4 linked regions of the Pelodiscus sinensis genome follow. Each later gene encodes a partner of the first gene's protein in a complex. Links are inferred from orthologs where the notes say so. Each region holds a gene or a part of one and is shown in the gene's direction. Other genes may lie near its edges. The genes, in order: GABARAP, WDFY3, TP53INP2 and CALR.

Region 1 (6,607 bases):
CGTTCTGTTCTTCCCTCTCTGTGTCCTGGGCTGAACAGGAGCCTGCCTTTCACTGGCTCCCTTTTGAGTTTAGCAACCTGAAGCCATCTGATTGTTTTGGTCCACTCCCTAGGGGTGGGTCTTTGCTCTGGGATCTGTTCCCCAGGGGTGACCTTCTCTGTTTTTCTCAGACTCTGGGGGAAATGAAAACCCAGGAGACAAATTATAGCCGCTAAGCAAGGCCAGAAATGGAGCCGTGTTCAGAGAGTTCTTACAGGGGGGAGGGTTCATCGCCCCCCCCCCCCCAAACCAGTTACACTTGTTCAACAGTTGGACTTTAGTGATGGAAGTCCTGGGTCCTGCCCCAGCTTTGGGTGGGGAGTGGGATCCAGTGTTTGGGGGTGGGGTGTTAGAACCCATGCATTCTGACTTCCTTCCCCAGCTCTTGGAGGAGAATGGGGGCTGGTGAGTTAGAGCAGGAGGTCTGGGGGCCAGGACTCCTTTTGTCTTCCTGGCTCTTTGAAGGGAGTGGGAAATAGCAGTTAGAGCAAGGGGAAACGAGGCTGGGATCCAGGAGTTCTCTTCCCGTTTCTAGCGGACTGTGGTGGAAGAATTTGGGGTGAGAGGAAGCTGCAGCCAAAGGGGTGAGGATGGCTAGATTCAGTGCCCATTTTTGCTCACAAGTGGCAGGGCTTGGATCTGTACCTCAGTTTCCCTCACTGATCTGTCAGGGCTTGCAGGGCCTCTGGGCCTGCTACAGTTTGGTGACGATAGGAAGCAGGAGAGCCCTGTGAGAGGGCCATCTGGGTGCTGGATGGGGTGTGTGGAGATGGGTGAAGTGTTTGAGGAGCAGCTGAGATCACTGTAAGCCCCACCTGTGGCAGGATAGAACCTTTACAGGTCCCAATTCTACATGGGATGGGACCTCTGTACTCCTCTCCCTATGTTGTGGGTCTGAAGAAATGCCCCTTCTCATCCAGAGGTGGGCATAGATGCCTCCTGTAGTCAGCAAGCAGAAGAGGCTGACCCTGTGCTGCAGGGTGGGGACTTAGCAGATGATGCTTTTCCTTGGCAGGTAGGACTGACCCCAGAGCGTAGTAGGGGGGGTAAGGATGTTAAGTATCGAGTAAATGACTATAATTTGTATCAACTACTTGATTAGTTGATAGGGGGTTGCTGTGGCTCTGCAGTTTAAATGTAGTAGGAGCCAGGTATGCAGGCAGCTTGGCTCCTACTACATTTAAACTGCAGAGATACAGTGGGAGCGGGTCTGGGACCTGTGCTGTGCCTCTGCCTTTTAAATGTTGGAAGAGCCAGGTGGCTCTTCCTACATTTAAAAGGCAGAGCTGCAGTGCTGGTGCCTCTGCCTCCCCCATTCCCTCTCTTCTTCCCCCCTGCCCCCCAAGCCCTGGATCTGCCGGGAATGGGTTTTTAAGCTGGCTCCTCCCCCCCTACACCCATTGCTTTGCTGCCTCTGATATGGAGGTAGCAAGGGGGAGGAATGTGAGTAGTGAATTCTGACTATCCAATAAACCTAGGCCAGTGTTGATTTTAAAGTGTGCTGCAGCCCAGCATCACAGATGATCTCTTCCCCCCCCCCCCCACACACACACACAGGTGCTCCCTGCATGGACCTAACGAATCACGTGTACAGCTGCACAGCTTAGAGCCGTGGTCCCCAACCTGGTGCCTGCGGGCGCCATGGCGCCCGCCGGGCTCTTTACATGCACCCGCGGAGCAATCTGGGCTGGCAGGTGCCAGCCCCAGGCGCATGGCTGGTCCCGGCCCCGGGTGCACCGCGCATGCCCTAGCCCTGGCCTTGGCCCCGCCCCCGGGGGCACCACGCGTGCCCTGGCCCCGGCGCTGGCGCCAGCCCCGGCCTTAGCCCCATGGTGCTTACGGGGGGAGCGCCGGCCCCGGGCGCATGGCGCTTACGGGGGGGGGGGGGGCGCCAGCCCCGGGCGCGCGGGGCTTGCCGGGGTGTGCCGGCCCCGATCACGTGGCTATGGGGGAGGCCCCGCCCCCGGGCATGCGGCTGGGGGGGCTGCCCCCAGGCGGGCAAGTGTCCCCGCCCCCTGGCGCCCAGCGGGTGAACGGCCACACCCCCTGGCACCCAACAACCTGAAAAGGTTGGGGACCACTGGCTTAGAGAACACTGGCCTTGGCTTATGAGAGAGTTGACTATTCTTTTACATGCCTAGTAGGGGGTGGCATGGAGGGATGCTGTGGGGCAGGGCATATCCCCTTTTTTAGTTGAAGTATAAAATGGCAAGAGTAAAAAGGCCATGTAACACTCATATCTGCCAGCAAAGGGGGAACCTGTTTTGCTTTCAGGTATTTCCTGCAGTCCCCTGCCACAGCAGGCTGCATTATGGGACTGTCTCTTCTTTGCTGTGTGGGCAGCTGTGTACTATTTGTTGATGTTAACTATAGTGAGCTGTGTAACTACAGCTTGGTGTGGAGAAAGGTGTCCCTGTGTAACCAGTTGCCCTGCTGGGTGAGGGGTCCCTGTATAACCAGCCACCCCACCCTGGAACTGCCCATCTCTCTGTGCCATGTGAGGGGTCCCTATATAACTGCAGCCACACCCCAGAGGTGGTCATGTAGTGCTGGGTGAGAGGCCCTTGTGTGACTGGCCACCCTACTGCAGAAGTGGCTGCATCTGTGTCAGTTTCAAGCCAAGCCAGCCCTGCTGCAGGGGCATCCTGCTGGTGACTTACCTCAGTGCAGTCTGAAGGTAGCTGGGTTTGTCCTGGGGCTGTGGGACACCAATAAAGGGAATCTGGCCTGTGGGGGAGGGGCTGGTGCTTTGGCCCCTTGGTCACTGTAGTAAGCCCTGGGGAAGGAGGGGCTCCCGGGAGAGCCTCTCCTCTCAAGTTGGCAGCATTTTCCTTTCCTCCCTGCCAACTCCATGCATTGGCCATGAGCAGCAGGGCTCTGAATGGTTAACTGGAGGGGGGCAGCAGCTGCGACGCCTCCATTTAAGAAGTTCACGGATTAAACAAAATTTTAGATCCCTACGAAGCTGCCCCCATTGGCTGCAGGGGCCCATCCCCAGGTGCCAGACTTAAGGGGAGCAGGATACTCCGCTCTGGCCACTGCACCCTTCCCCCTGCCAGGGCATCCTGGCTCCCAGCCCTTCCCCCAATGGTTTTACCCGCTTCCCCGAGCGCTAACCCTGTGGTATGGTCCACAATCTCTGGCACCTCCCCCTTTATTGCTATGCTCCCTCCTGATTGGTCACGGCCACTCTGCGTCGCGTTTGTCCGCTATTGGTCTTGGTCTCTCTGGGCCACGCCTTTGTCACGTGGCAGTGTCGCCTATCAACCCCTGCAAACCAGGGGTTTCCCGTGATCACGTGGCAATGCCCTCTGCGTTGTACGTCACGTGAAACTGCCCCCGCCCCCCCCCGATCCTTCTGCCATCCTTCCCTGCGGGGCCCCCTACGCGAGGCCTGACTCTCTCCTCCCCCCCCCGTGGCCACACCCTCCTCGGGGCGCTGCCTCCCCGCACTATTTTGTTTTGGTGTCGCACTGCCACGCAGGTGGCGTAGCTCTGTGAATCCTGGGTTTGCGTAGCTGCCCGGGGAGGAGTGCGTTTCCGAAATGGGTCGACTGAGAAGGCCTCTTATTGGCATGGGGGAGTTACGTAAACCTCGCAGCGTCGCTCCCTGCCGAGGAAGTGATACGCCACGAGCGTGGGAGTACGCAAGTGGAGTTCATGATACGCAAACAGTATAAAGCGGGAAGCCGTAGCTTCAGCAGTTAACGTACGCAGCTGCCGCGGGAAGCAGCGAGGTGATTCCACCGTTACGCTATTTGCTTAGTGTTTCTTGGCGGGTGTAGCTGGAGTCGGCTGCGTTAGTGGCGAAGCATAATAGACGCTTGTTTCGTGGCGCTGGAGGGGCCACACGAGTTACGTGCTCCAGCGGAGCAACTAATCAGCGGGGCGCAGAGCGAAGGCCATTAGCCAATAGAGCACGGGTCGGTTACCTCAGAGGCGCAGGGAGCTGACGTAGGGCGGGCGGTGGTTACGCTAGTTGCGCGAGCAAATGGCACAGGGTTGGGTACACAAGGCAGGGGCACTTACGCAGGCGGCGTACGGAGGGTGATGATACACTTTTGATAAGTAGGACTGCCCTGTTGGCACAGGGAGTTACGCTGCTTGCGTTCGGAGCCAATGTAGCATGGGAAATGGTTACGCAGCCAGAGCAGGGCGGACGGAGGATTCGCTGGTGTCGCAGGGAGTTAACCTAGCTCGTCGCTGTTTACGCTACTGGCGCCTGCTCAGTGCGCAGAGGTTATGCGGGTGGCGTAGTAAGAGGACGTAGGACGGTCGCTGGTTACGCAGCCCGCGCAGGGCGGGCGGGGGTTACGCTGGTGACGCAGCCGGCCCGCCATGAAGTTCCTGTACAAGGAGGAGCAGCCCTTCGAGCGCCGCCGCTGCGAGGGCGAGAAAATCCGCAAGAAATACCCGGACCGCGTCCCGGTGAGACAGCTGAGGCCTCCCCAACGCCGCCGGGAAGACCCTGGCCCCCACCGGCCGCGCCCGGCCAAGCTCTGCCCCTCCCTGGCGTGTGAAGCTTGGTCCGGCCGGACCCACCGTGCGCGGGGGGGGTACTTCGCTCCCCTCTTACTGGGTGAGGGGTACCCCAGCTGCTACCATCCACAGACACTGGGGGGCCCTTTAGCCCCCCGCCTCTTCCCACAGCCCAGCCTTGACATGGCTCTTGAGCTGGTTCCTCGCTGGACCCCAATGGGTGGCTGACCAGGCTCCATCCCAGTTCTCCTTTGGGGAGCTATACGCCCCCTGAGGTGTGCTCCGAGCCCCCCAAATGCTGGGGGGGCCGGCTGACCCATGGCATTTCCTCCCCCCTCTTTCCCCAGGTGATTGTGGAGAAAGCCCCCAAAGCCCGAATAGGAGACCTGGATAAGAAGAAATACCTGGTGCCGTCAGACCTCACTGGTGAGTGCTGTCCCCAGGGTGTGCCATGCTGAGGATGGGGGCAGCAGCCGCCGTGGGCTGCATGGGCAGTGCAGGGGGAGGTGTTGGAGGAGTTATCTGTGGGAGCTGTTGGGGGGAGGCAATATACCCTTAAAGGGGACAGGTGGGGATTTCTGGAGTGTGGGGGGAGGGGATTCTGGAAGGCCCCCTCAAGCCTAGAAGTAGGGCTAGATAAACTGGGGGGTGCCCCATACAGGGAATGCCCCGCTCTCTGTAGTCCCCCCACATAATATGGGGAGGCAGCATCTGACAACTGCAGGGTCTTGGATGGGGAAAGGGGGGGAGTGGAGCAAATGAACTGTGGATTTGCATAAAGGAGGAATTTCCCTCTCCCATCCTGACCCCCCTCTTTCTTCTCCCTCAGTCGGACAGTTCTACTTCCTCATCCGGAAGCGAATCCACTTACGGGCTGAGGACGCCTTGTTCTTCTTTGTCAACAACGTCATCCCACCCACCAGTGCCACCATGGGCCAGCTGTACCAGGTGGGGCGTGAGGGGGCGCTGTGGGACAGAGCAGTGTGGGGACTCAGCAGGGGGTGCTTTCCTTTGACAGGCAGGGTTGGCCTCAGGGTGGCGCTAGAGGCTAGTGTGGGGTAGGGGTGCAGCAAAGGGTGTTTTCCCTGGTAGTATTTGGTGCTATCCTGTTACCCCCTGTTGGCTCTCCCTGGTACTGACATCTTCCTTTCTTTCCTTTCCCAGGAACACCATGAGGAAGATTTCTTCCTGTACATCGCTTACAGTGACGAGAGCGTCTATGGCATGTGAGGCGCCATCCTCCCTGGCTACCGGGGTGCCCTCCTCCCCAATTGGACCTGCACTTTCTCTTATTGGTTGATCTCTATAAGAACCTTTTTTTTTTTTCTGACACCCCCAACTGCCTAATTACAGCCCTCCATGTAACTGCCCCTCCCCACTCTGTCTGGGTTTCCGTGGTTAATCTCCTGCTCTGATTTGTGGCCATGAAGGGTTTTTCTAACATCCCCCCTGCATTCTTCAAATTGCTGACCTCTCATCCCCAGCAGGGCCTGACCTGTCACCAGGGGGTTCTGTCTGGCAAGTCTCTTAACATGGTGTGTAGAGAGGTCTGGGGCATAATAAAATGAGAAGGGAAACCCTGATTGTGGTATGGATTTTTATTTCTGTAGTGGGGTGTGAGGCGAGTGGAGGGGTTGGCCAGGGCAATCCCTTTGTGGTGGATCAAGGGTGTTTGCTGTATGATGGCTGACCACAGGGTGCTTGTAAGATGGATGGGGAGGAAGTACAGATAAAGCACATGGGGGTTCAGGACCCCTTCCTAAGGACAGCTAAGGGGGCAGGAATAGATCCCTCTGGGAAGGATCAGAGTAGTGTTTTCTATAAACTCTGCACTGGTGCCATGCAGGAGAGATTCAAATGCCACCGAAGTGGTTAGCAGACCTAGCTAAGCTAGGTTTTGTATTTTTACCTCTTGGTGTACATAAATATATTACCAGGGCTTGCCGCTGCTTGGCGAGCCCCTGCTCACCAGCCCCCCAGAAGCACACACTACGCCTACACAGACCGTGCTGCTCCTGTGCTGAACGTGCTTTGTGGCTCCACCGGACTAAAATCTACTCACCACAGGTGAGTAGATTGCCTAATTTGT
Region 2 (7,751 bases), on another chromosome or scaffold:
CAGACTGGGGCTTCTGACCCCAGCTCCTGGAAAAGGGTTGGTTGAAGGCAAGAGCTTCTTGGATGCCCACTGCCCAAGGGCTCCCTCTGGAGAAAAGAGTAGCTTATGCTGAAGTCAATGTCAGCTTCTGAGACCAGTAAGGGCCCTCAGGAAGCAGCAACCCCACCATGGCAAGGGAACACTGATCACCTCTCCCAGAGCCGCTGATCTGTAGCATGCCCAGAGGGCTCTTACGACCACAGCAGCATGGCAGAATGCTTGGATGTGTCAGACCAAAGGCCCTGTCCTGGTCTGTAAGGGCATGCTAGGAGAAGACCATGTTAACAGTGCCTCTGTGCTTCCTGCTTATCTCTGGACTGCGGCACCTGGCCATTTCCCTTCCATAGAATCCTAGGGCTGGAAGAGACCTCGGGAGGTCATCGAGTCCAGCCCCCTGCCCAAAGCAGGACCAACCCCAACTCAATCGTGCCAGCCAGGGCTTTTTCAAGCCAGGACGTAAAAACCTCTAGGGATGGAGATTCTACACACACTTCCCTTTCTGGGGATGGCAGGATATTTTCTCTTGCACTGGCTCCCTGCTGTGGGGAGTGTGGGCGTAGCAGAGGGGCACAGGATGGGTCTACAGAAAATGCAAATGACAAAAGGAGACAAGTTCTTTTTGATGGATTTTATTGTGTGTTTCTAAATGGCCCAAAGGGCTGGCCCTTGCTCAATGCCCCAGAGGAAGGCAAAAAACCTCCAGAGTCATTGGCCAATTTGCCCTGGAGGAAAATTCCTTCCCGACCCCAAATATGGCGATCAGTTTCACCCTGTGCATACGAGCAAGGACCTACTAGTCACTATGGTTACAAACCTTGTCCTACTCCACTCTGTGTCCAAGTATTAGCCAGTCTCCAGTGCTTTCCTCTTGTCTGATGAAGCTCAATTCTGCATGCATCCTAGCAGATGGAAACAGCTGTTCCTCTTGGCCCAATAGGTACCCCATGCAACTTTTGAGCATGGCTTCTTGAACAATGTCCACACTGGCTATGTTTCCTTCATCTGAAAGTACAACCAAAGCCCCTGAATTGCACTCAGAAATGATAAGCAGGTTCTTCACCTTCTAATAAAGATGAATCCCCTTGTGTCAGCTATCATTCTTGGCTCCTCTTGGACCCTGAGACTATGTGGACTACACTGCAACACTATTTCAGGATACCAAAGTATCCCAAAATATCTATCTCATGTCTTCACAGCAAGCCCATTATTTTGGGCTCACTGTTCCGACATCCCTGTAAACCTCATTCTATGAGGAGTAAGGGATGTTTTGGAACAGCACTTTATTTTGAAATTTGGTACTGTGTAGACAGTGCCAAATGACAAAATAAGCTATGTTGAAATGGTATTGAAATAAGATATGCAATTTGCGCAGCTCAAATTGCATATATTATTTCAAGTTATAGTGCAGTGTTAATGCACCCTGAGATGTAACAAATCCTCTGACTCAATGTAAGTTAGCAATTTTGTGGAGCTGACTATGTTGCATTTACCAAATTCTTCTCTTACATCTCATCAGAGCCAATTTTGTTGCTCTATTGAATGAAGTAGCTGTGATTTGATATCTTAAGAGAGCCAATTATCCTGCCAGGTGATAGGAATGGCCTTGAACAGATCCATACATTTATACTCGAAAATCCTGAGCATTTATAAAGCGTATCTCCTGAAATGGCAAACCAGCTTCACAAATTAGTTCCTTAAAAGGGATCAAAGTTTGACAGGTAATTTGGTTGCTCATCAGTTTTACATGCCCATAAATGTTCCCAAAGGGAATGGATCATAAAGTATCTTGTACAACAGAACCACAAATGCTCACTTTCTTGTCAATGACCATCTGCTGAATTGTTTGGATTGAAAAATGATGGTGACTGCCTTCATTGTCTGCCCATTTTAGTCATGAAAGCCAACTTTTCTTTGTTCTCTGCAGGTTTGGCCATGTCTTCCTTTATGCCTAATAATGTAACTGCATATACCTTTCAATCACTGTGAGATCAGATCAGCTGCATTTCTGTTACCTGAAAAGGAAACCCAAATCCATAAACTCCTTTACCATTGTTATGAGATGAGTTGCTTACCTCTGGGCTTCAGTGAAAGATCTTTTAGGAACTTCCTGAAGTTTTCTCACCTTTATTGTTAGTAGGAACTGCACTGCCCTAATCAGAAAGTATGAGAGGATCATTTCCACTTGACTGTTAAAAAAAAATACATTTGGGGAGATTTTCTTACCAATTGATATGCCTGGTTCAGTTCATTCCAACTGCATTCTGAAACAGTGAGAAAAATGCATACCTTCTGGGTGAAGAGCTGCTGTATTGGTTTATTTTTTCTCTCCATACAACCAGTTTATTGTTTAAAATCAAGTAGTTATAAATAACACTTTCCTTATAGTTGACTAGAACAAGTAGAGAATTCTCTAACCTTTCAACAGCTTTGGTTCTGTACATTGCTTTAGTTTTACAAAACTTGCTAGCAGCCTTTGACAGCAGAGGATAGATTCACTTCCTTCACCTGAAAGTACAGTCAGTTTAGTTAGTTTCCACTCCATTGCTACCAGGATGTGAATCACTTACCTCTTGAAAGGAACAGTCAGCTTCTCGTCTTACTTCTTAATTGGAACAATGTGAGCTTCTGACAGAGGAGCTGCAAGGATCAAATCAGCAGAATAGGTAACTGCAATGTCATCTTTTGAAATCCGATGCCACCTCTCAGCTATGGCCACTTGCACCCTTTCCTCTTTGGATAGTACAAATGCCTGTGTTATTAAGCCCAGTCATGACAACTGGCATTTTTGCCACCCTCAGATTTCACAGTAGCTACATTTTCCCCACCTGAAAGTATGAGAGGAGCCATCCATTTCCATTTCAATGTTAAAAACGGGTCGTTTTTGTTTTATTTTGTTTTTCTTACCAATTGATAGGCCTGGTCCAGCTCATTCCTATTGCATCAGTCCCTTCTAGAACACAATGGTCCTCTCATCTCCTTCCATCCAGACATATGCGATCTGCGGTAACAATCAATGTGTGCCAGATTGATCAATTTATTCACTCTGCAAATGTTCCTTTAGCACCAGATTCACCTGAGAATCAAGGAAACCCAAATGCTCACCTCTGTCTGTGATGTGCTGCTGACTTGCTTCACATTCAAATTTGCAACTAGCCAAACCATTCAAAGTGACTGACCCTCTGTTCCTAGATTCCAATTCCAAGGTGCTGTTATTTCGTCAAGTGATTGGCAGCTGGCAAGTCTATCCATACTGCTTTAAGTCTGAGTCTGCTTTATACACTCTCCCCTTGACAAGTAAGGTCAAAATCAATTTTTCTGCCTAAAAGTAAAATCAACACTGTTTGATGTGCACATGGCTATCTGGAGTCAGACCTTCCTTACCTCTTGCCAAAGACAGCCACTTTCCCGCACTTCTTCCTGGTAGGAATGGCCACCTAGTCTGTTCATATCTCGATTTAGGAAAGCCTGCAATCATCAACATTTGAGAGAATTTTATTATTATTACTCAGTACCTCCTATGTAGAGTCTTTGATGGAGATGGTTCCTTAGCAACCAGATCATTAGGATTCTAGTGACTTTTCAATGCTCACCCACTTGTCATGGTGTTTTGCCGCATGGCTTTGATTCTTACAAGTATAGCCAGCTACATGGGTTAAAACTTGAAGAACAAAATTGTCTGCTTTTCTTTTTCTGATCTAGAAGGAAAAGTTGCTTTTCTACCCTCTGGGCAGGCATAGTAACTTGTCTGACTTTATCCTTAAATTCAGCAGCCTCTAACCTTCCTGCCTGGAACAGCAAGACCTTCATTTCACCTGAAAATAGAAATGGAGCCTTTTATTTCTGGCCCTGGGCCATGAGGCGGTGCATTCCTTACCTCTTGATAGTAATGATCAGTTCCACTTCTCTTTACTTGACCTTTCATAAGTAAGCAACAATGATCAATCCTGCAGAATTGGAGTGGACCAACTTATCTCTGAAAATGTAAGAGAAAGTTAACATTGATTTTCATGCTGTGATTTCACTTTTTCTTTGAAATAACATCACTGTTACCACCTTGCAAGAACAACCAACAGCATTATCGGAAGGAAAAATGAGGCAATATGATCTCTAGTTATAATTAACATCTGCTGTCCTTACAGCTGGATAGGTAGCCCCCAGGTATTTTTGTTTTATTCAGTACAGCCACTTTTTGTGCTCTTTAGAGAGATGTAGATTTCATCAGTTACTGGGTTTTTTTTTCTTCCTCAAAATATGACCAGCGCCATTAACTGTTATGGGAAGGTGTGTTGTATTTCTTACCTCCTGAAAATAATGGATTAGCTAGATCAGGTAAACTTCTTGTAAACTGCAGTCACCTGTCATCCATGACCCGCTGAAAAGACCTATTTGTCAGGCAACAAATGTAAATTATGTGTCATTAGATTAATGTTGTTACATTGAGTAAAATGCATACCTTCTGGGTGAAGAGCTGCTGTATTGGTTTATTTTTTCTCTCCATACAACCAATTTATTGTTTAAAAATCAAGTAGTTATAAATAACACTTTCCTTATCGTTGACTAGAACAAGTAGAGAATTCTCTAACCTTTCAGCAGCTTTCCTTTGCTTTAGTTTTACAAAAGTTGCTAGCAACCTTTAACAGCAGAGGATAGATTCACTTCCTTCACCTGAAAGTACAGTCAGTTTAGTTCATTTCCACTCCATTGCAATGAGGACGTGAATCACTTACCTCTTGAAAGGAACAGTCAGCTTCTCATCTTACTTCTTAATTGGTACTATCTGAGCTTCTGACGGTGGAGCTGCAAGGATCAAATCAGCAGAAACAGGTAACTGCAATGTCATCTTTTGAAATCCGATGCCACCTCTCAGCTATGGCCACTTGCACCCTTTCCTCTTTGGATAGTACAAATTGCCTGTGTTATTAAGCCCTAGTCGTTACAGCTGGCTGTGTTGCTTATATTTTGGCAAAGGCAATTAGATTCTACCTAATGCTAAAGACATCAGCCAAGGATCTCACTCCTATCTACTTCTTCGGTGTGTCTCCTCCTTTCTCTTCTACTGTATCCTCTTCCCCCATTCTTATATCTCCCTCTTGTCTCTCCTCCTTTCTCCTCTCTCTCCCTTCCACAGTTCCCTGATGTTTCTATCTGCTTAACTTCAATTTCCCCTCTCCACCCTTATAGATACCTCACTCTACCTACCAGCCTTGTCCCTGCCTTTCCTTCCTCCTCACCAGAACTCTGTCCTTTGTCCTTCTGTGTCTCGCCTTCCATTTTGTAGGAAGTCGGTGGGTCCCAGAAGATGCTATTTCTTTGCCCTGGTCCCTGTCCTGAGACCTAGACATTAGCCATGTGCTCTGGATGATGTCCTAGTGTGAAATGCTGCAGCCCTTGGTGACTGACCCAATAATCACTGCATCACAGCTGAGCTGTGGTCATTGTCACCCCCTCCTCATTTGGGCAGTGTGAGCAAAATGACCAGCGCCAAGTCCCCGCCAAGGGAGCTAGTGGGGAAAAGGGCTCTGTCTGGCTCTGCAAACCATTGAATGAGTCACCACGCTTCAGTCAGCAGTTGGGCTGTTTGTTCCAGGGTCTTGTCTGGTTTCTTACCTGTGATTTGGATGGGGTGAGAGGCAGCCCTCACCTGTGAACGCTGACATCAGGAATCCCTCCACCGCTTGTCTCGGTCTCTGTTTGTCTAGGGTGCTGCCCTTACGGCGGAATGTTCCACTTCCCTCACAATTGGCCTATTCTGAGCAGGGCTGAGTTCCAGCATCTTGCTCAGAAACCAGTGGGAGCTGAGAATGCCCAGCCCCTCTCAGCACTAACCGCGTCGGCTGGATCTCACGGCTTTGTGCCCGTCAGCGCTATGTGGAACCCTCCCTCTTACGAGATAGGCTGATCACTGCAGAATGTGCCACCAGCCAGGGGTTTCAGGGTTTGCTGTAGATGGGTGGATACCAGAACCATGACACTACCCTTCCCTGGTTGCTGGGAGTTTGATTAAATGACACGTGCTGTTGGATGCATGTGGGAGTTGTATTGGTGCAGCTCTGGGCAGGGAGCCAGCTCAGCAGATCAAACTGCCTAAAAGGCTTCTTTAGATGGGCAAAAGTGCCCTGGCCAGGTTTATTGCTGACAAAGCATAGTACTAGTACCCTCCAGGCCCTGTAGGGACATGAATACTTGTATACCTATGCCAATGGACCTGCTCAGTCAGCAGCAGGACTCTCCACTGCCCCCCCAGACAAAGACGTACCTTCTGAGACCCCTCCTTCATACACTGAGACAAACAAGTTACATATTACCCCATGCTTTGTACCTGTTGGTTCAAACAAAACATCTCCAACTTTTACCCTGCTGTCTTGAACTTCTCTCTAGGAGGAGTCCGTGTGTCCCTTTCCCCTTTTCAGGGCGTGTATGTTTATATCATAGCTTTGTATCAGCATATTCTTGTGGTACCCTCCTGGGATGTGTATAGTGACTAGCTAGAGCCTAGTTCTACTTGAGAAAGCCTGTGTTTTCGTAAAACCAGCCATATTCTTGCCAAGTTTGCACACGGAGCAGTGAAGTTGTAAGCAGGCATCTGCTTTGTAGCAGGGCCTGACTCATGTTGTGGTTTTTTGATTCTAGCCCCATGTTACAGGCTCTGACCTAGTGCTGTTGCCCTCCCTGAGCCACAGTTTGAAGTAACTGTGATTAGTGAATCATGTGCTGCGAAACCTCTGGCATTCTTTACCTTTGTTCTTTGTTGGCTTCCTTAAACTAAAACGGATCATTCTGGCAAACTCTCTCTCTCGTCTTTGTGCTTTGAAAACATAACCCAGTGCACTGTGCAGACACAGAGCAGACACTGTGGTGGCTCAGAGCCTGGGTATGTGCAAGGAAGTGTTTCTGTAACAGTGTCTGTTCCCCTCACACCTTCTCCCTGTTTCTTTTGGTGTTACTGTGGCATTGCATGCACCTTCTGGAGTAAGGATGGGGATGTTAACGTACTTGCTTTTCATCAGCTCTTTTCACCACAGTGTGTCACTTACGGAGGGTTTGTTGCTTCAGGGCTACTCCGCCTGACTGTCCTACTCTAGCCTAGCTATCCAGTTGCCCTGAAAGCTAAGAAAAACACAAAACAACTGTTTGGTTTGGCGTTGGACTCTCTGGCTGTGCAGATTTAACCTTCTGTGTGCCTTGCTTCCCTTAGGCAGCAAAAGAGAGAGGAAAAAAGTCCCAAAAATTCCAAACAGCAAAACAGAAAAAAAAGATCCCGAGGTCTGTGTTCCTGGTTCAGAATGATCACACCACTCTGCCACCATGTCAGGGCTGTTCCTCACTCTGGCACTCCAAGAGCAGAAAGTAGGGGCCCACAAAAGACCTTAAAAATACCTTGCCTCTCTAGGCTTCTGCTTGAAAGCTCCCCAAGGCCACCAATTCCCTGGCCTTGGGAGGTAGCTGCCCACCACCAAATGAAACAAGAGATCCCTTTCTTCTTGAAACCAAGAAGGAAGCACTTGGACTTCTTCCCGAGGGGTATCCCCAAGCTCTTTTACCACAAGAAAGCTTGGGGAAAAAGAGAAAACAAAACTGCAGTCTCTGGTAGCTGACTTCTCAGTCTTAGACTTGCATACACAAACACTGGCCTTCCATTTCCTTCTAGCACACAAGAATCAAATTATTGCTTTAAAAAGGTGATTTTATTATCAAAAAAGATATACTTGATA
Region 3 (7,277 bases), on another chromosome or scaffold:
TGCTTCAGTTGGTGGTAAGGAGCAGAGCTCTGGGGTTGATGCGGTCCCGGGCTGAATTTTGCTGCCCATGATTTCGGACATGGTGGCCAAGCTGAACTGTCTGTAGCATCCAGGCATGAATCCAGTTGCCTGGTCAATGGCGTCAAGTACTGCAACACTGATGCCACCCAGCCGAGAGACTGCATGCAGGCTGCATGAATCTGAACTCAGTGCCTCTGCTGAGGCCAGCTTTGGAAGCCACCGTACACTGGGGTTGTGTCTAGACTGGCAAGTTTTTCCACAAAAGCATCTACTTTTGCGAAAAAAACTTGCGAGCTGTCTACACTGGCCGCTTGAATTTCCGCAAGAACACTGATGATCTCATGTAAGAAATCAGTACTTCTTGCGGAAATACTATGCTGCTCCCAGTCGGGTAAAAGTCCTTTTGTGCAAAAGGGCCAGTGTAGACAGCTCAGATTTGTTTTGCGCAAAAAAAGCCCCGATCGCGAAAATGGTGATCGGGGCTTTTTTGTACAAAAGCGCATCTAGTTTGGCCCGGACGCTTTTCCGCAAAAAGTGCTTTTGCGGAAAAGCGTCCGTGCCAATCTAGACGCTCTTTTCCGCAAATGCTTTTAACAGAAAACTTTTCCGTTAAAAGCATTTGCGGAAAATCATGCCAGTCTAGACGTAGCCAGAGTGTGCAGTGCTGATGTTCTTCTACAGCAGCATGAGCTATTATGCTCTGCTCTCTCTTGTGTTAGGGGCTCTGTCCTCACTAAAGATGTGAGGCTCTGTTGAAGGTAATGATGCAAGAGTAAGACAAACATCAGTGTCATCCGATGATACCTATAGTCCTACCTGTTTCTTTTTTGCAGCCATCATTGTTTGTTGTACCAGGGTGTTATCAGCTTCCTCATGCCAGATGAGCACATCTCCTCTGTTGATCACACCTCCCTGGCTTATTTCAGCTAGGGGTGTTGTCTCTGCCTGTGATGAGTAGCTTGTGGTTTAGTGTGTCATTGCTGCAACTTCTTGTCTTGAACATGATGTACCAATTATGTGTCAACAGGTTCTTATTTTCAAGACAAGACAGGGGGAATTGTATTGTGCTCTGCTTGCTTCTTTAGTTCTGCTAGATCTTTGACGCTCTTTGCTGTGAAGTCTTTGGACCTGTCAAAGACAAGATCTCCATCACTTGCTACTAACTCATGTATGTCAACTCAGAAATTGGTCACAAAGTCCTTGAAACCATTTATTGGCCAGAGTACTATCCCAAGAACTGCAGAACTGACAGATGTGCAAGTGAATCCTTGTCAGTTGCAGCTGCTTCTTTAGGCCAGGCCTAGCTTTGGCAGTTCTCATGTCACCAAAGTCACTGCACACAGAGGAGCCAACTCACACTGATGAAATATTCTTGATATCAACCTGTCATGAACTTGCTTGTAGGCTTCCGAGGGAGGATCCTTGCTTAAATAAAGTTAGTGTCCAATACCTGAGGTGGGCTAACCTATGCATGGTTTTTTTTGTCAACACCAGCATCTCGCGTAGCCTTAGCATTGTGTCATAGAACCCTGTAGGGAAGCTAAGTTCAAAATCTTGCATTTAGCAAATTCAAACTGCAAGAACATCTACAGACAGTGATATCACCAACCACTACCAATGTTAACTATTGTGTCTGGGTGCTTAGTGGTGTTTCAGGGATCAATGCACAGCTCTAGCTTGTTAATAATGGTCTCTATTCTATCAGCAGTAATCCTTGACTTCATTTCCTCTTTTGAGGATCGCTTGTATTTATTCCCCACTGGTGTCATTTATGTTTTCAGTGTCTTCCACCTGACAGCTACCAGGGCTCTTGATAGTTCTTGATAGTTTCTGGTTTCACAAAAGTGGTTTCAACATACATGTCACTCGACTTGCCATCTTATATTTCTCAGCATGGTGCAAGATATGCTGCAAGCTCTTCCTGCATAGAACCATGAAAGTGTAGAGCTGGAGGAAACCTCAAAAAGTCATCAAATCCAGCTCCCCTGTGCTGAGACTGTCCAGGTTTACCTGGCCCTACCTCTGTCAGGTGTTTGCTAACCTTTTTCTTGAGAATCTCCTCTTCTGGGGATTCCATAACCGGCCTTGGAAGCCTATTCCAGAGTTTAGTTGGAAAGCTTTCCCTAATATCTAACAAATCTCCTTTGCTGCAGATCAAGCTCATTAGTTTGTTCACCGAACATAGGACATGGAGAACCATTGACTCCTGTCCTCTTTATAACAGCCCTTAATGTCTTCGTTTCTCAACACTGAACATGCCTCCTTTTTTAAACCTTTCTTCAGATATCAGGTTTGTTAATCTGTCTGTTATTTTTGTTGCTTTTCTCTGGTCTCTCTCCAGACTGTCCACATCTTTCTCAAAGTGTGGTGCCCAGAAGTGGGCACAGTACTCCAGCTGAGGTCTCACCCGTGCAGAACAGAGCAGGACAGTTATCTCTACAGTCTTGCATACAACACTCCTCTGACTACACCCCAGAATGATATTAGCCTTTTTTGCAGTTTCATCACATCATTGACTCGCGGTCAGTTTGGGATCATGAAACATTTTAAGACAAACACAGGATTTGGAAAGACAAAAAATGTGCTTCACTATACACATGCACACACTTATAATACAGTGTAAACAGCCTTTCTAATCAAATTATTTTAGCAGATAAAACACATATCAAATGAAAAGTAAACAGTGCTTTTGCGGAAATTCAAGTGGCCAGTGTAGACAGCTGGCAAGTTTTTCCGGAAAAGCGGCTGATTTTCTGGAAAAACTGGCCAGTCTAGACACAGCCTTAAAGTCTCTAATTTACTATATATTTGAGAGAGTTTCTCTGTGGGCAAGCCTGTCTGTCAGTTTGTTCAAGAACTCCTCCTAAGCGGTATGAGCTAAAACCACCAAATTCGATATACAGAACTTACTGCAAGGTACGAGTTTAGGTGTAGGGGGGGGGAGGGAGCTGACACCTCTCTCCCAGGCATACAAGGATGCATAAAATCATACAGAAGAGACAATCACCGGGCAGTTGAAAGGGGATGACTGCCCCAGACACCACTTAGGAACAGTACTGGCTGTTCCCCTTTGTTAGGGAGTGAGGGTGCACAATTTGCTTCATTCCTCAATCTTGCTGGAGAACGCAGGAGACAGACAAACCTGGACTTGGCCCTCCCCTGCCTCTACCTGCTGAAGCTGCAGTGGCCATGGAAAGGCACTTCTCACCTAGCCCCAAGCTGCTGCAGTGAGAGAGGGCAGCACACCACTGCAATGATTTCAATGAAGAAAAACAAAAATTAATTGAGTTAAGGACCCCTGGTAAAAATCTTCTAGTTGTCCAATACTTGCATTAATGTGACAGTGCTAAAGAACCATATTCTGAGAGTACAAGACAAGTATGTCTTGCTTCTCAGTTGAGGGGAGCCAGGGAGAAAGGGCTAGTGCGCTAGCAAGAGATAAGATTAGAACAGGTGCTAAGAAAGACAGAAGTACCCTTCCCCCCAGTTGTGTCCTGTATCAAAATACTAGTGTGACATTTCCATTAAAAAGCAACTGAAATTCAATTAAAGTGGTTTCAGTGTCACCAATCTTGTAAGGAAAGAAGGGGAGGTGGGAAAGGTAGTGCTCATATTTCAAACGGCTGGACAGTCCCAAGATGGTATGAGGCAGTTGCTTCAAAATTCAACTATAACTAACTCTCCCTCCCTCTTCTCTCAAAGGTAGAGCCCAAACCGACTACAGTGTACAGTATTGGGATTACCGGGCTGAAAGGGGAAAGAAAGCAAAGGCCACCCAGCGAGCCCAAGGGCGGGTGCTGGTGAGATGGGCAGAAGGCGGGGGCTGAGCTGCCCTCTAGCCTGCTCGCAAGGGGGGCGAAGGAGCAGATTCCTGGGAAGCCTCCTGCCCACTGAAGATTTGGGGTGGGCGGGTGGATGCTGCTCCGCCCTAGACAGAGCAGGCGGCGGTGGCCCAGGCTCAGGTCCGCACCCAGCCCGAGCCGTACCTAGTGCCCGATTGCTGTCTGCAGCCCCCCACGGCCGCACCCTGGACTTCACACGGGTCCCGGAGCTCACATGGAGCAGCTCCGGCTCCTCCCCCATCCCTTCGCAGGCTGCATCCTTGAAGCCCAGCCCTCAACCTAGCCCTGCCTCCTATTGGCTCCTGGTCCGCCGGGTTACGCCCTCGGCGGGCGGCCCCCTTTGTGACGCCACAATCAGCTGTTTGGACGTTCTAATTTCTGATCTGGTCTGAGATCAGCAGCAATAACAGAAAATAAGAAGAACCCTGAAGCCCGTGGAGGGAGGGTCCGGCCGCAACAGCAGCCGCCTACAGCTTGCAATGGTGCATATCTTCTGAGAAGAACAGACACCACCACCACCACCACCTCCTGCATCTTTTTTTTAAATTTCCATTTATACTAGTGTTGTTGATTTCAATTAAAACTACCTCACAGACTGCCTAAAGCTGGTGCTTTACGATATTTAACACAATTTGTGGGTTTCTTGCGGTGTTGTTTACAAAATATTTGCTGACATTAAAGGCAAGGTAAGTGCCATGCTCTGTTCTGAAATGTGGCTGGCTAAATTCAAACTTGAGAACCATCTCTTTGTACTGCCGCCGGCAGTATGGTTGTTTTAATGGAGTATGTTGTTGATGTTTTCAGACTTCTCTCTCTGCACGGAGTGGTTTGGGTGCGTGTTACACCCTCACCCAGGGATTTTATTAAGATTTAAGGGTCATCTGTTTTCTGGTTAGTGGGCGATTGAAGGTCCCTTTGTATTTAGCTGAGTGCAGGCAGGGACATCTCTTTGTGTTTTAGTACGTTGTGTGCATTGTGCTTTGGTGTGGTGTTGGAAGGGAGAACACAGCTCATTAGCTTCTTGGGGAGACTATTAGCTATGAAGCTAGGTTGGTCTTTTGTTGTTTTTATATTATATATCAGCGACCAGGGTGAAAGAACAGGGTCGTTTTGGATCTGGAGAGAGGCTCTTACTTCAACCACACAAGTCTGCCTCTCTCGGCTTGCCAGATGGGGGCTGGCGGGAGGGGGGGGGCGGCAAAGAAGCATAATGTCGAGGTAGGTTTGGGAGAGCAAATGGCCCCGTTAATCCCACATCCTCCTAACTACCCAAGATGGTGATTTTGCTTGGGTTTGGTATTCAACCACAGACCTATGAGGTCACCAGAAATAATGCACTGGGACCGGGGATCCGGCTGGTATGCAGGAGAGGAGCCATTTGTCTCGACTCCCCTTTGCCAGAAGAAGTGGGGTGAGCATCCATACTGCACACGAAGGTGTGTGTGTGGCGGGGGGTGAGCAGAGAGCCCAGCTGGGTCAGAACAAGCGAATGGAAAGGGCCCATCCTCATTAACTGCAACTCGGGGGGCGATGCTGTGCTGCGGCGGCTGCTTTGGCTCGGGCCGTGTCCCCTGCTCAGACGATGCAAAGCGGCCTCGGTTCGGCTCGCAGCCCTTCCCGACAGGCCGTCCCGGTCACTGGGAAAAGCCAAGTTGGTGCCTGGTTTGTCTCCCGATGGATTTCCCATCCCCCCTTCTTTGCAGGGGGGGCGTTTCTCGCTGGCACGGACAAGAGCTGGATTGCCCCAGATCCGCGCAGGGTTTAGCGACTAAGCCGGCCTAGGGCCGGAGAGAGGCTGGCCCAGCCGGTGTTATCCGCGCAGCAGGACGGGGGGTTGCCCCGCACCGTCTCCCTGTCTATGGAGCGGGCCTGGGTGCCAAGCAAGCCGGTTCTCCCCCCCTCCCCCGCAGCAAAGCCCGGCTCCTGCCAGGGGGCGATTTCTCTCGTCCGCGCCGCCCAACCGGCTGGGGCCCCGCGGCTCAGCTGCAGCCCCCGCTCCCCGCGCGCTACTTGTTGTTCGCTTCTCCACCGACGGATTCCGATTCACGGCCGAGCTCTCGTCCCATTGGCTCCTCGGGATTGGGAGCCTATGGTGACGCGCTCGTGATTTGCATATGACATTGAAACGTCACCCAGGCACGCCAGCCCGCCTCCGGCCCGCGGAGCGGAGTTGTCCTCTGCTGACCCGCGCCGAGGGCTGCAGCGGGCGTGGGGGGCTGGGCGGCCGCGCATGCCCGGGCGGCTTTGAAGGCGAAACGCCCGTCTGGTGTTTGTCTTTGCCTTACCGGGCAAGGCCAGGGCAGGCTGCTGCACCGAGTGAGGCCGATAAATGGGGGAGGGGTCCTAATGCCTTTGCTTAGTGGTAGCCTCTCTGCTGGGCAGAACTTGGAGGCTGCTTCCCTGAGCTAGCTGATTATGTAGCTCATCGGAAGCGTATTTAATGGAGTACAGACGCATGCAGATTTGCAAGCCTAGCCTGTTCTCCCCCCCCCCCCCCACACACACAGTTAAGATGACGATGTTCAGTTATGCCGTAAGTACTTGAGAGATTTAGGGCTGGATAAGACTATTCTGCACTAAAATATCCTTTAATAATCTTAACACTATTGCAGAACCTGGATTTTCCTATTTACTTTTTCTAGTGAATGGAGCAAAGTTATGTCCCTGACCTTCTACAGTCTTCTACAGTCTGGATGATGCTCCATAAATATATCTAGTTAGGGAGGGGAAAATACTTTAAAAAAAACATTTACAGCTGCTCAGTTAAATCTGAAACTATTCAACTGTCTGATACAAAGCTGGTGTAATACATTATAAAGGTGTTTGCGATGGAAATACTAGCATCATGAAGTGCAAGGTACAGATGTATTTAAGCTGAATTCTCTATATCCCGTATTACTGAAGATTGACCAGATAGATTTTTAGCCGCCATTCAGCAAAGCACTGAAGTGTGTGCATAAAGTTCCATTAACTTCAGTGAGATTTCAGAATAGGCTTAAAAGCTCTGCTCTCCCTGGCCTCTGTTTCTCTGGAGGTGGGTGACAGGGGAAGGATCACATGAGAATTACCTGTTGTGATCCCTCCCTCTGAGGCATCTGGTATTGGCCACTGTCTGCAGACAGGATATTGGTCTGGATGGACTGTTGGTCTGACCCAATATGGCCGTTCTTATGACCCTAGGTGTCCTTCGTTTGAGGCCTTACTAGCACTGGCGTGTTGAAGTATATGCTACAACCCCCTACACAATGGAAGTTTACAGAAATGCAACAAAGCTCACTTCCCATCTGAAGAAGGGTTAGATATGCATTAGCCCTACTGCAGGCAAATTCCAGCAGCTGAACCTGTTTTTACCATGTGTTTTTCAGGTGGAGAGACATGTCAGAAGTCATTAGATCACTGTCTATTCTAGGGGCT
Region 4 (6,906 bases), on another chromosome or scaffold:
CTTTGCCGTTCCTCAGCACTGAGAGCTCATAGATCTACAAGGGAATCCCAAGAAGCGCGGGAATCAGCTTTGCTTTCCCACAACTCCGCCTGGTGGGATGCTCCCCCACAATGCTTTGCTCTGTCTGTTAGCAAGGTGCTAGCCAAGTGGCCATGAAATGGTGACAATGGGAGGCAGAAAAACTGGTTTTATCGGTTTTCACTTTCGTTGACTTTTCCACGTCGGCAGCACTTTTGTCGCCAAAATTTCCCAGTGTAGACAGAGCCTAACGTAGCACGATGTGAGTATGGAGAAAACATGGTTCCGTTTATCGAATGGAGGAACAAGTGAAAACAAATGGTGATCTCTAAAATCCAATCGCAGCATGCATCCTAGAGCCTGCACTTAACTAATGAGGTATTTTCCAGTCTCCTAGCACTGAGCTCACCCCAGAGCCTTTCTTCCAGTGCTTTACAGGCCCTCCAGTGCCTATGACCCTCCATTGAGAAGACACGCTGCCAGCAGCCTAGCTCCTCGGTGAAGGATAAGATCTTGTCCCCTCTTCTCTTCTGTTATGTAGCTACAGAATCAAGTTCCTTTCCCCAAAAGACCCTCCCTTTCATCTTTTCTCTTTGCAAGCCCTCACGCTTGACGCTGGCCAAGACAGCAAAGGTCTCTGGGAGCATCTACTGGTTTGTATGCTGATTGAATTGGCCCTGGGCCATGCAATATACACACTCCGGCTACGTCTAGACTGGTATGATTTTCCGCAAATGCTTTTAACGGAAAAGTTTTTTGTTAAAAGCATTTGCGGAAAAGAGTGTCTAGATTGGCACAGACGCTTTTCCACAAGCACTTTTTGCGGAAAAGCGTCCGTGCCAATCTAGACGCGCTTTTGCGCAAAAAAGCCCCGATCACCATTTTCGCCATCGGGGCTTTTTTGCTCAAAACAAATCTGAGCTGTCTACACTGGCCCTTTTGCGCAAAAGCTTTGCGCAAAAGGACTTTTGCCCGAACAGGAGCAGCATAGTATTTCCGCAAGAAGCACTGATTTCAGACAGTAGGAAGTCAGTGTTCTTACGGAAATTCAAGTGGTCAGTGTAGACAGCTGGTCAGTGTAGACAGCTGGCAGCTAGACACAGCCACCCTGACAGAAAGGGAAACATGGTTGTTCCTTCCTGCCTGGGGACTGCTTTATCTCACAGACCTTGAGACATGATTCCTTACATATCCACACATCCGCTTTGCAATCATCACAATGTCCAGTGTCTTGCTGGCTTTGGGTAGAGACTTCACAGGCCACCGTTTGGCATGCTATAATATAGATATTAGCCCCACAAGATCCCTCTAACTCTACACACGCCTCTGTCCTCTGCCAGCTGGTATCAAGGGGTCGCAAACCCCCTCTGCTACTGGAGGCCCTTTTGGTGTATGTGTGGTATATTATGCAATTGACAAAAGGAAGAACCCAGTGCGCAGAGCCAACAGCCAAAAACCTGGTGCATGGAGTGGCAGCAGGAACCCCAGGTACTAGGCCAGGAGCCTGGGGTGCTGTAGCACTCCTTATCCCCCTAGTTCCCATGCCTATGGCCAAAAGCCCCTTAGGGAAGCACCCTGGGATTTGGCCCAGTGATCACCCATCCAGCCTAGCTTCCAGGATCTGAACTGGACTCAACGGCTCTGTTCTGCACAGGCGGTCCTTTGGGGAAGTCGCACTCCCTTGGGAAAGTCACGGTCCTACCAGCTCAGAACACGATAGCTGCTGCTTATCTGGGATCTTCTTCTTCATGATGCTGTGGTTAAGGGAGAGATGAGGCACCGAGATTTGTAATAACGAGAAACCCAACAAGTCCGACCTCTTGGGCAGCCTATCCTTACAGACACTCAAACTAGTTCCCTCTTTCTTTTCCTCTGTAACTTATCTCTCTGGCACACCCTGCCCTGCCATCTCTCTTGGGCCTTGCTGCCAGCTAAACCGTTGGGGTTGCAAAAGAAAATCCGTTTGTGTGGCAGCCCCATGGGGCTGGGGAGCTCGTGTAATAGAAATCTTAGAGTTCAGTGGCACAACAGACCCCAAGAATGGGGTGAGATTGGACAGCCTGTCTGTTATGTAAATGATGCTAGGCAGACAATGATAAGAGGACAAGGACATCTGTGTTCAGGGAGGCCAAAGGTGATGGGCACTATAGAAAATCCACAGATAGTGTGGATGGGGTAAAGAGGGCTGCATGGTGGGGTGCATATGGGGATGGAGAGAGGGATGTGTGTGGATGGAGGGGTGAGTGCATGTGGGGACAGAGGAATTACCAGTGGGGTGTGTATGTTTTGGGATAGAGAGGGGGCATGTATGGAATGCGTGCATAGTGGGGTGTGTGAGGGATGGGTGAATGGGAGTTTGAGTATGGGGCTAGAAGATGTATGTGGGGATGGGTGGAGGGAGGGATGCGTATGGAGATTGAAGGAATTGGTGGTTGAATAGCGAGGTGCATATGGATTTGAGTGGAGAGATGCTATGTATGGGATGGATGGATAGTGGAGAGTGTAGCGGGGTAAGGGTATGGATGAGAATGGAAGGGTGTTTATGGGGATGGGTGGTTAGTGGGGTGCATGAAGGGATAGGTGGTTAGAACATGTAGGTGTGGATAGACAGATACTCTATTAAAACCGTATCTCAGAATCCTCTGATTGAGGGTCCTGAATTGGCCTGGGGCAGACCCCTGCTTACTGGCAGTCTGGGCACAGGTTAGCCAGGCACCTGGCTGGCCATCTGCTGGGTATGTGTAACGTCCCAGAGCTGTTTCCTGTTAGCTGGGGGTTTTGCCCCTGTTTTGAACAGTGTTGTTCTGAGCTCTTAAACAGACAGCTAGTTCCATCTGTGAGATGGCTGCTTTTTTGTGCCAGGCAAGGAATCCCTATACAAACAGCCCCCACAACCCACCTCAGAAACAGCTGCATCTCAGCATTGGGTGAGGGATCCCTGAATGAACAGCTGCTGTGCCCCACCCCAGAAGATGCTGCATGTTAGTAGTAGGGAGGATAGTAAATAAATAAGCCAGGGAAGCTGCACTTCAGAGATCTTTGTTCACACAGCTTGCAAATCGTGTGCACTGCTGCAGGAGGGGCTGTAGAAATGGGGAGGCTTTGGTATTAGAACTTCCTCCACAGTAGAACCTTTAGCTCTTTACCATGCACAGAGCCCTGGCACTGGCTATTTCTCTTCTTTAGGTTTCCTGGACAGACTTTACGAAGGCAAAGATGAAACATTTTGGGGCCTCTGCGAGAAGCCGTGCCTTTAGCTGGGGACTCACAAGCCTTCAGTGAAGGTAGGTTGGTCTCTTCACAGAGGGGAAAGTGGGGCCTAAGTGAGTTGACCGAAACCTCAGGAAAAGTCAGTGGCAGAGCAAAGACGTCCTGGCTCCCAGCTGCTGTCTCCTGGACCCCTCCCAAAGAGAGGCTCGCAGCCATGGACCCCCAGGTTAGCATGCATCACCGCCCTGTACCCAGGTCTCCTTCCTCCACTGGGGTTCTTTTATCACCTGCCCCGCTCGTGGTTATTATGGGCTGGGCTGGGCTAGGGTGACCCCCATTGACCAGGGGTGAGAACGAGCCTGATCAGCTGTGAGCTGGCCCTTTAAGAGCGCCCGAGAGATCACGTGACCTGACAGGCGGCGGCGACGCAGCCAGCGAGAGGAGGAGGCGTCTCCCCCCGAACGCGTGGTCGCTCTTCATTGGCCGAGCCCGACAACCAATTGCAAGCGGCCATCTGGGACGCCAACGTTCGGGGGCGCAGCCTCACTCGTCGCGCGGGGTGCCCGCCAATGGGAGCGCGCGCCGCGAGGGCACGGGCCAATGGGGAGCTGGCGGGGGCGGGGGCCGGGCCGGGCCGCCTATAAGAGCCGTCGCCGGCGGCGGCGCGCCCGCAGTGTCCGGTGCGCCGCTAGGTGGGGGCGTCTCGAGCTGTGCAGCTTCCCGGGTCGCGAGCGTGGGACCCAGCGCGATGAGCCCGCTGCTGGCGCTGTGCGGCCTGCTGGGCCTGGCGGCGGCGGGGCCCGCCCAGCTCTTCAGGGAGGAGTTCGGGGACGGAGGTGAGGGGGGGGGGTCACGGCCGGGGGGGGGCCCGGGGACACCGCCCCCCCCTTTGACTCCTGCACCCGAGACCCGGGCCTGGGCCTGCCCCCACCCGGCCTGTTGGCCTCCTCCGGGGGGTGCGGAGAGTCCTAGAGACACCCCCCCGCTGGGAGGGGCCCCCCCCACCCCTGCTCGAGCATCGCCCGCCTGCTCTGCACGGACCGGTCCGTGCTCGGGGGCACGTGGGGGGGGGGCAGAGCGGGGCCCGGGGGGGGCCCGGGCTCAGCCCCTCTGTGCCTGGAGGGGTGGCTGGAAGGAATCTGGCGGCGGTGCAAGCCTGCAGTTGTAGGTGAAGCCCCCCCCCCCCGCATTTCTCATGCCCAGCTGGAGCCGGTGTCATAATCTGTTTGGGAGGCCAAGAAGCCCCGAGGTGAGCCTGGCTTGCTCCTTTGCTTCTTGTCCCTACGGGAGCTTTGAGAGACTGGCCCAGCCACTGCAGAGGGATGTACCGGCACCCTCAGGGCGCGCTGATCCGAGGCACTAATCAGCAATATAAGCTGTTATACAGATGCTATGTTCCATGTTGGAGGAGGCTGCATTTCAGCAGCAGGTGACTCAGTTCCTGGGTATTGTCTTCTAGTCGGGAACAGCTAGTGCTCATGTGAGGAGGAATGCAAGATTCTGCTCTGCACTTGACCATGCCTGAGGCAGAAAACTTCCACTCGGCCTGCTGAATGAAGTAGGCATATTATTGCGAGGGGGTGTGTGGGCTAGTGGCTGGAGCCCTGGGAGTCAGAACTTTGCAGGGGTAGTGACTTCCTTTCTCCCTTGGTTCCCTGCCTGGTGAAAGAGACTTACTCCAGGCTGACTGGCTTACCCAACCAGTTTGAGAGCTCTTCTCTGGCCTGTGATGATGGAGCAAGGTAAGGTACAGGGCCTTCCTCAGTCAATGGCCAAGTGTGGGCTGGGTCTGTAGGTCACATTCCCACCTTCTGAGAGCTAGGGCCTGTTCAAACTGATGCCTGGGTCTCTTCCCCACAGATGCCTGGACAAGTCGCTGGGTGGAGTCAAAGCACAAGTCAGACTATGGGAAGTTCAAACTGACGGCAGGGAAGTTCTATGGGGATGCTGAGAAGGATAAAGGTGAGAAGTTGTGTGTGCGCGTGCGCGTGCTGCATTCTGCTATCCCTCCGGGGATGTACTGAGGAGATCGGGGCATCTTTTCTTAACTATCTTGCCCATTGGCTCCTCTGGCTGGTTCCTACTTGCCTCCAAGTCACCCAGCACTTCTATAAATACCTTAGCATCAAATCAGCCCAGTACATCCTTCTCATCCTACTCTGGCTGTAATGGGTTAGCTTTCTGGGTGCTGCTTGGATCGGGTGCTCTCTGGGACAGGACTGGCTTTCTGCACAGTGGAGCATGGGTCCATGACTGACAGAACCCCATAATGCACCTATGTATGTGGCTGGAGGAGGGATATCTCTTTGCTGCCTTGTGCCCTGTTAGCTTTATGTTAGTGGCATGGGGCTCTGTATGCAGGCACCATGCTGCAGAGTGCTGAGCATGAGCAAAGAGGCCTGTTGCCCAGATGTGCTGAGCTCTGAGGCCAGCTGAGCTGTGAGGCCAGCTATGTGAGGAATCCTGCTCCCCTTAGCTGGCAGCTCATGACTCTCTCCCCTCCCCTTGCCAGGCCTCCAGACAAGCCAGGATGCCCGTTTCTACGCCCTGTCCGCTCGCTTTGACCCCTTCAGCAACAAGGACAAGACCCTGGTGGTGCAGTTCACTGTGAAACATGAGCAGAACATTGACTGTGGTGGTGGCTATGTCAAGCTCTTTCCCTCAAGCCTGAGCCAGGAGGACATGCATGGGGACTCGGAGTACAACATCATGTTTGGTGAGTGGCTCTGCGTGGGACAGCTCCATAGCCTTTGCTGGCTGTGGATTACCCACATGGGCCTGGACTGAGGTTAGGGTCTCATGCAAAGCAGGGTGGGGCTTGCAGTGTGTGGATGGGAGCTCTCCCAAACCTTGGGAGTGGCTGGGGGTGCTTAGTGGCCCAGCATTGTGCTAGGAAGCTGCTGGATAACCCATGTCATATGGGGCCAGTGGTGTGGCTGGATGGCTTCAGCTGCCAAGGGGGTTCTTTGCTTCATGCCCTAAGAGGTCATGCATTGTTGCTCTGCTCCACCCCAGTGGTAGATGAAGGAACTTGAGACTTGCACCTGAAATACAAACTCTGTCCCGTAACTCCCTGGGATGGTTTCTCCTGAGAATCCTAGAGACCAGCCTGTCCTAGATGGCTCTGTTCCCCCAAACATTGCCCCTGTCTTTTCTGCTGAGTGGCCTGCCAGGTTGGGGGGAGGGGAGAGTCTAGTCTGAGCCCCATTCAACACCTACTCTCCCTGCTGAACCTGTCACTAGCTCCACACTGGGCCCTCTATTTGTGAGCTAGCACCTGGTCCTGCTGGGGCTGCATTTGCCAGCTCTCTGCACTGGAACAAAGTGACTTGTCATTTCAGGCCCTCCTGAGCCAGGCTGGTTTGCTCTGCTAAACTGTGGCTTGTTTCCGATCCAGGCCCTGACATCTGTGGTCCAGGGACCAAAAAAGTGCATGTGATCTTCAACTACAAAGGGAAGAACGTTCTGATCAACAAAGACATCCGCTGCAAAGTGAGTATCCTGGCATAGGGCTCCTGCCCTGCCACGGGGGCCTGGAGTGAGATCTCCTTGGCCTGGAGCGGAGAGCCTTCCTCCAGCCAGGTCCTCTGATCCCCGGCTCCTTCCCTTGCCCAGGACGATGAGTTCTCCCACCTCTACACCCTCATTGTGCGGCCTGACAACACCTATGAGGTGAAG

Evidence for each region.
Region 2: the proteins of GABARAP (region 1) and WDFY3 are in contact, whole or in part, in a crystal structure (PDB 3WIM), measured with the Homo sapiens proteins. The link is inferred for Pelodiscus sinensis from reciprocal best matches to the Homo sapiens genes GABARAP and WDFY3. Residues at the interface, in NP_009209.1 of Homo sapiens: Glu17, Ile21, Lys24, Tyr25, Arg28, Pro30, Lys46, Lys48, Tyr49, Leu50, Val51, Pro52, Asp54, Leu55, Leu63, Lys66, Arg67, Phe104; in NP_055806.2 of Homo sapiens: Glu3342, Lys3343, Asp3344, Gly3345, Phe3346, Ile3347, Phe3348, Val3349, Asn3350, Tyr3351, Ser3352.
Region 3: the proteins of GABARAP (region 1) and TP53INP2 are in contact, whole or in part, in a crystal structure (PDB 8T31), measured with the Homo sapiens proteins. The link is inferred for Pelodiscus sinensis from reciprocal best matches to the Homo sapiens genes GABARAP and TP53INP2. Residues at the interface, in NP_009209.1 of Homo sapiens: Tyr5, Glu17, Ile21, Tyr25, Arg28, Pro30, Val31, Ile32, Lys46, Lys48, Tyr49, Leu50, Val51, Pro52, Asp54, Leu55, Gln59, Leu63, Arg67, Phe104; in NP_001316358.1 of Homo sapiens: Glu31, Val32, Asp33, Gly34, Trp35, Leu36, Ile37, Ile38, Asp39, Leu40, Pro41.
Region 4: the proteins of GABARAP (region 1) and CALR are in contact, whole or in part, in a crystal structure (PDB 3DOW), measured with the Homo sapiens proteins. The link is inferred for Pelodiscus sinensis from reciprocal best matches to the Homo sapiens genes GABARAP and CALR. Residues at the interface, in NP_009209.1 of Homo sapiens: Glu17, Ile21, Tyr25, Arg28, Pro30, Val31, Ile32, Lys48, Tyr49, Leu50, Val51, Pro52, Leu55, Phe60, Leu63, Ile64, Arg67, Phe104; in NP_004334.1 of Homo sapiens: Asp199, Trp200, Asp201, Phe202, Leu203, Pro204, Pro205.

The regions. Positions count from the first base shown.
Region 1 is NC_134734.1:9,615,072-9,621,678, reverse strand, and holds GABARAP (gamma-aminobutyric acid receptor-associated protein), read left to right. Parts: upstream 1-4,183; 5' UTR 4,184-4,377; coding exon 4,378-4,467; intron 4,468-4,865; coding exon 4,866-4,944; intron 4,945-5,347; coding exon 5,348-5,466; intron 5,467-5,682; coding exon 5,683-5,748; 3' UTR 5,749-6,101; downstream 6,102-6,607. UniProt on the Homo sapiens protein: Ubiquitin-like modifier that plays a role in intracellular transport of GABA(A) receptors and its interaction with the cytoskeleton.
Region 2 is NC_134715.1:13,065,570-13,073,320, reverse strand, and holds the start of WDFY3 (WD repeat and FYVE domain-containing protein 3), read left to right. Parts: upstream 1-4,740; 5' UTR 4,741-4,863; intron 4,864-5,238; exon of another isoform or gene 5,239-5,425; intron 5,426-5,646; exon of another isoform or gene 5,647-6,033; intron 6,034-7,751. UniProt on the Homo sapiens protein: Required for selective macroautophagy (aggrephagy). Acts as an adapter protein by linking specific proteins destined for degradation to the core autophagic machinery members, such as the ATG5-ATG12-ATG16L E3-like ligase, SQSTM1 and LC3.
Region 3 is NC_134728.1:30,990,648-30,997,924, reverse strand, and holds the start of TP53INP2 (tumor protein p53-inducible nuclear protein 2), read left to right. Parts: upstream 1-4,262; 5' UTR 4,263-4,549; intron 4,550-7,277. UniProt on the Homo sapiens protein: Dual regulator of transcription and autophagy. Positively regulates autophagy and is required for autophagosome formation and processing.
Region 4 is NC_134729.1:13,045,256-13,052,161, reverse strand, and holds the start of CALR (calreticulin), read left to right. Parts: upstream 1-3,886; 5' UTR 3,887-3,976; coding exon 3,977-4,064; intron 4,065-5,088; coding exon 5,089-5,190; intron 5,191-5,740; coding exon 5,741-5,944; intron 5,945-6,625; coding exon 6,626-6,720; intron 6,721-6,843; coding exon 6,844-6,906. UniProt on the Homo sapiens protein: Calcium-binding chaperone that promotes folding, oligomeric assembly and quality control in the endoplasmic reticulum (ER) via the calreticulin/calnexin cycle.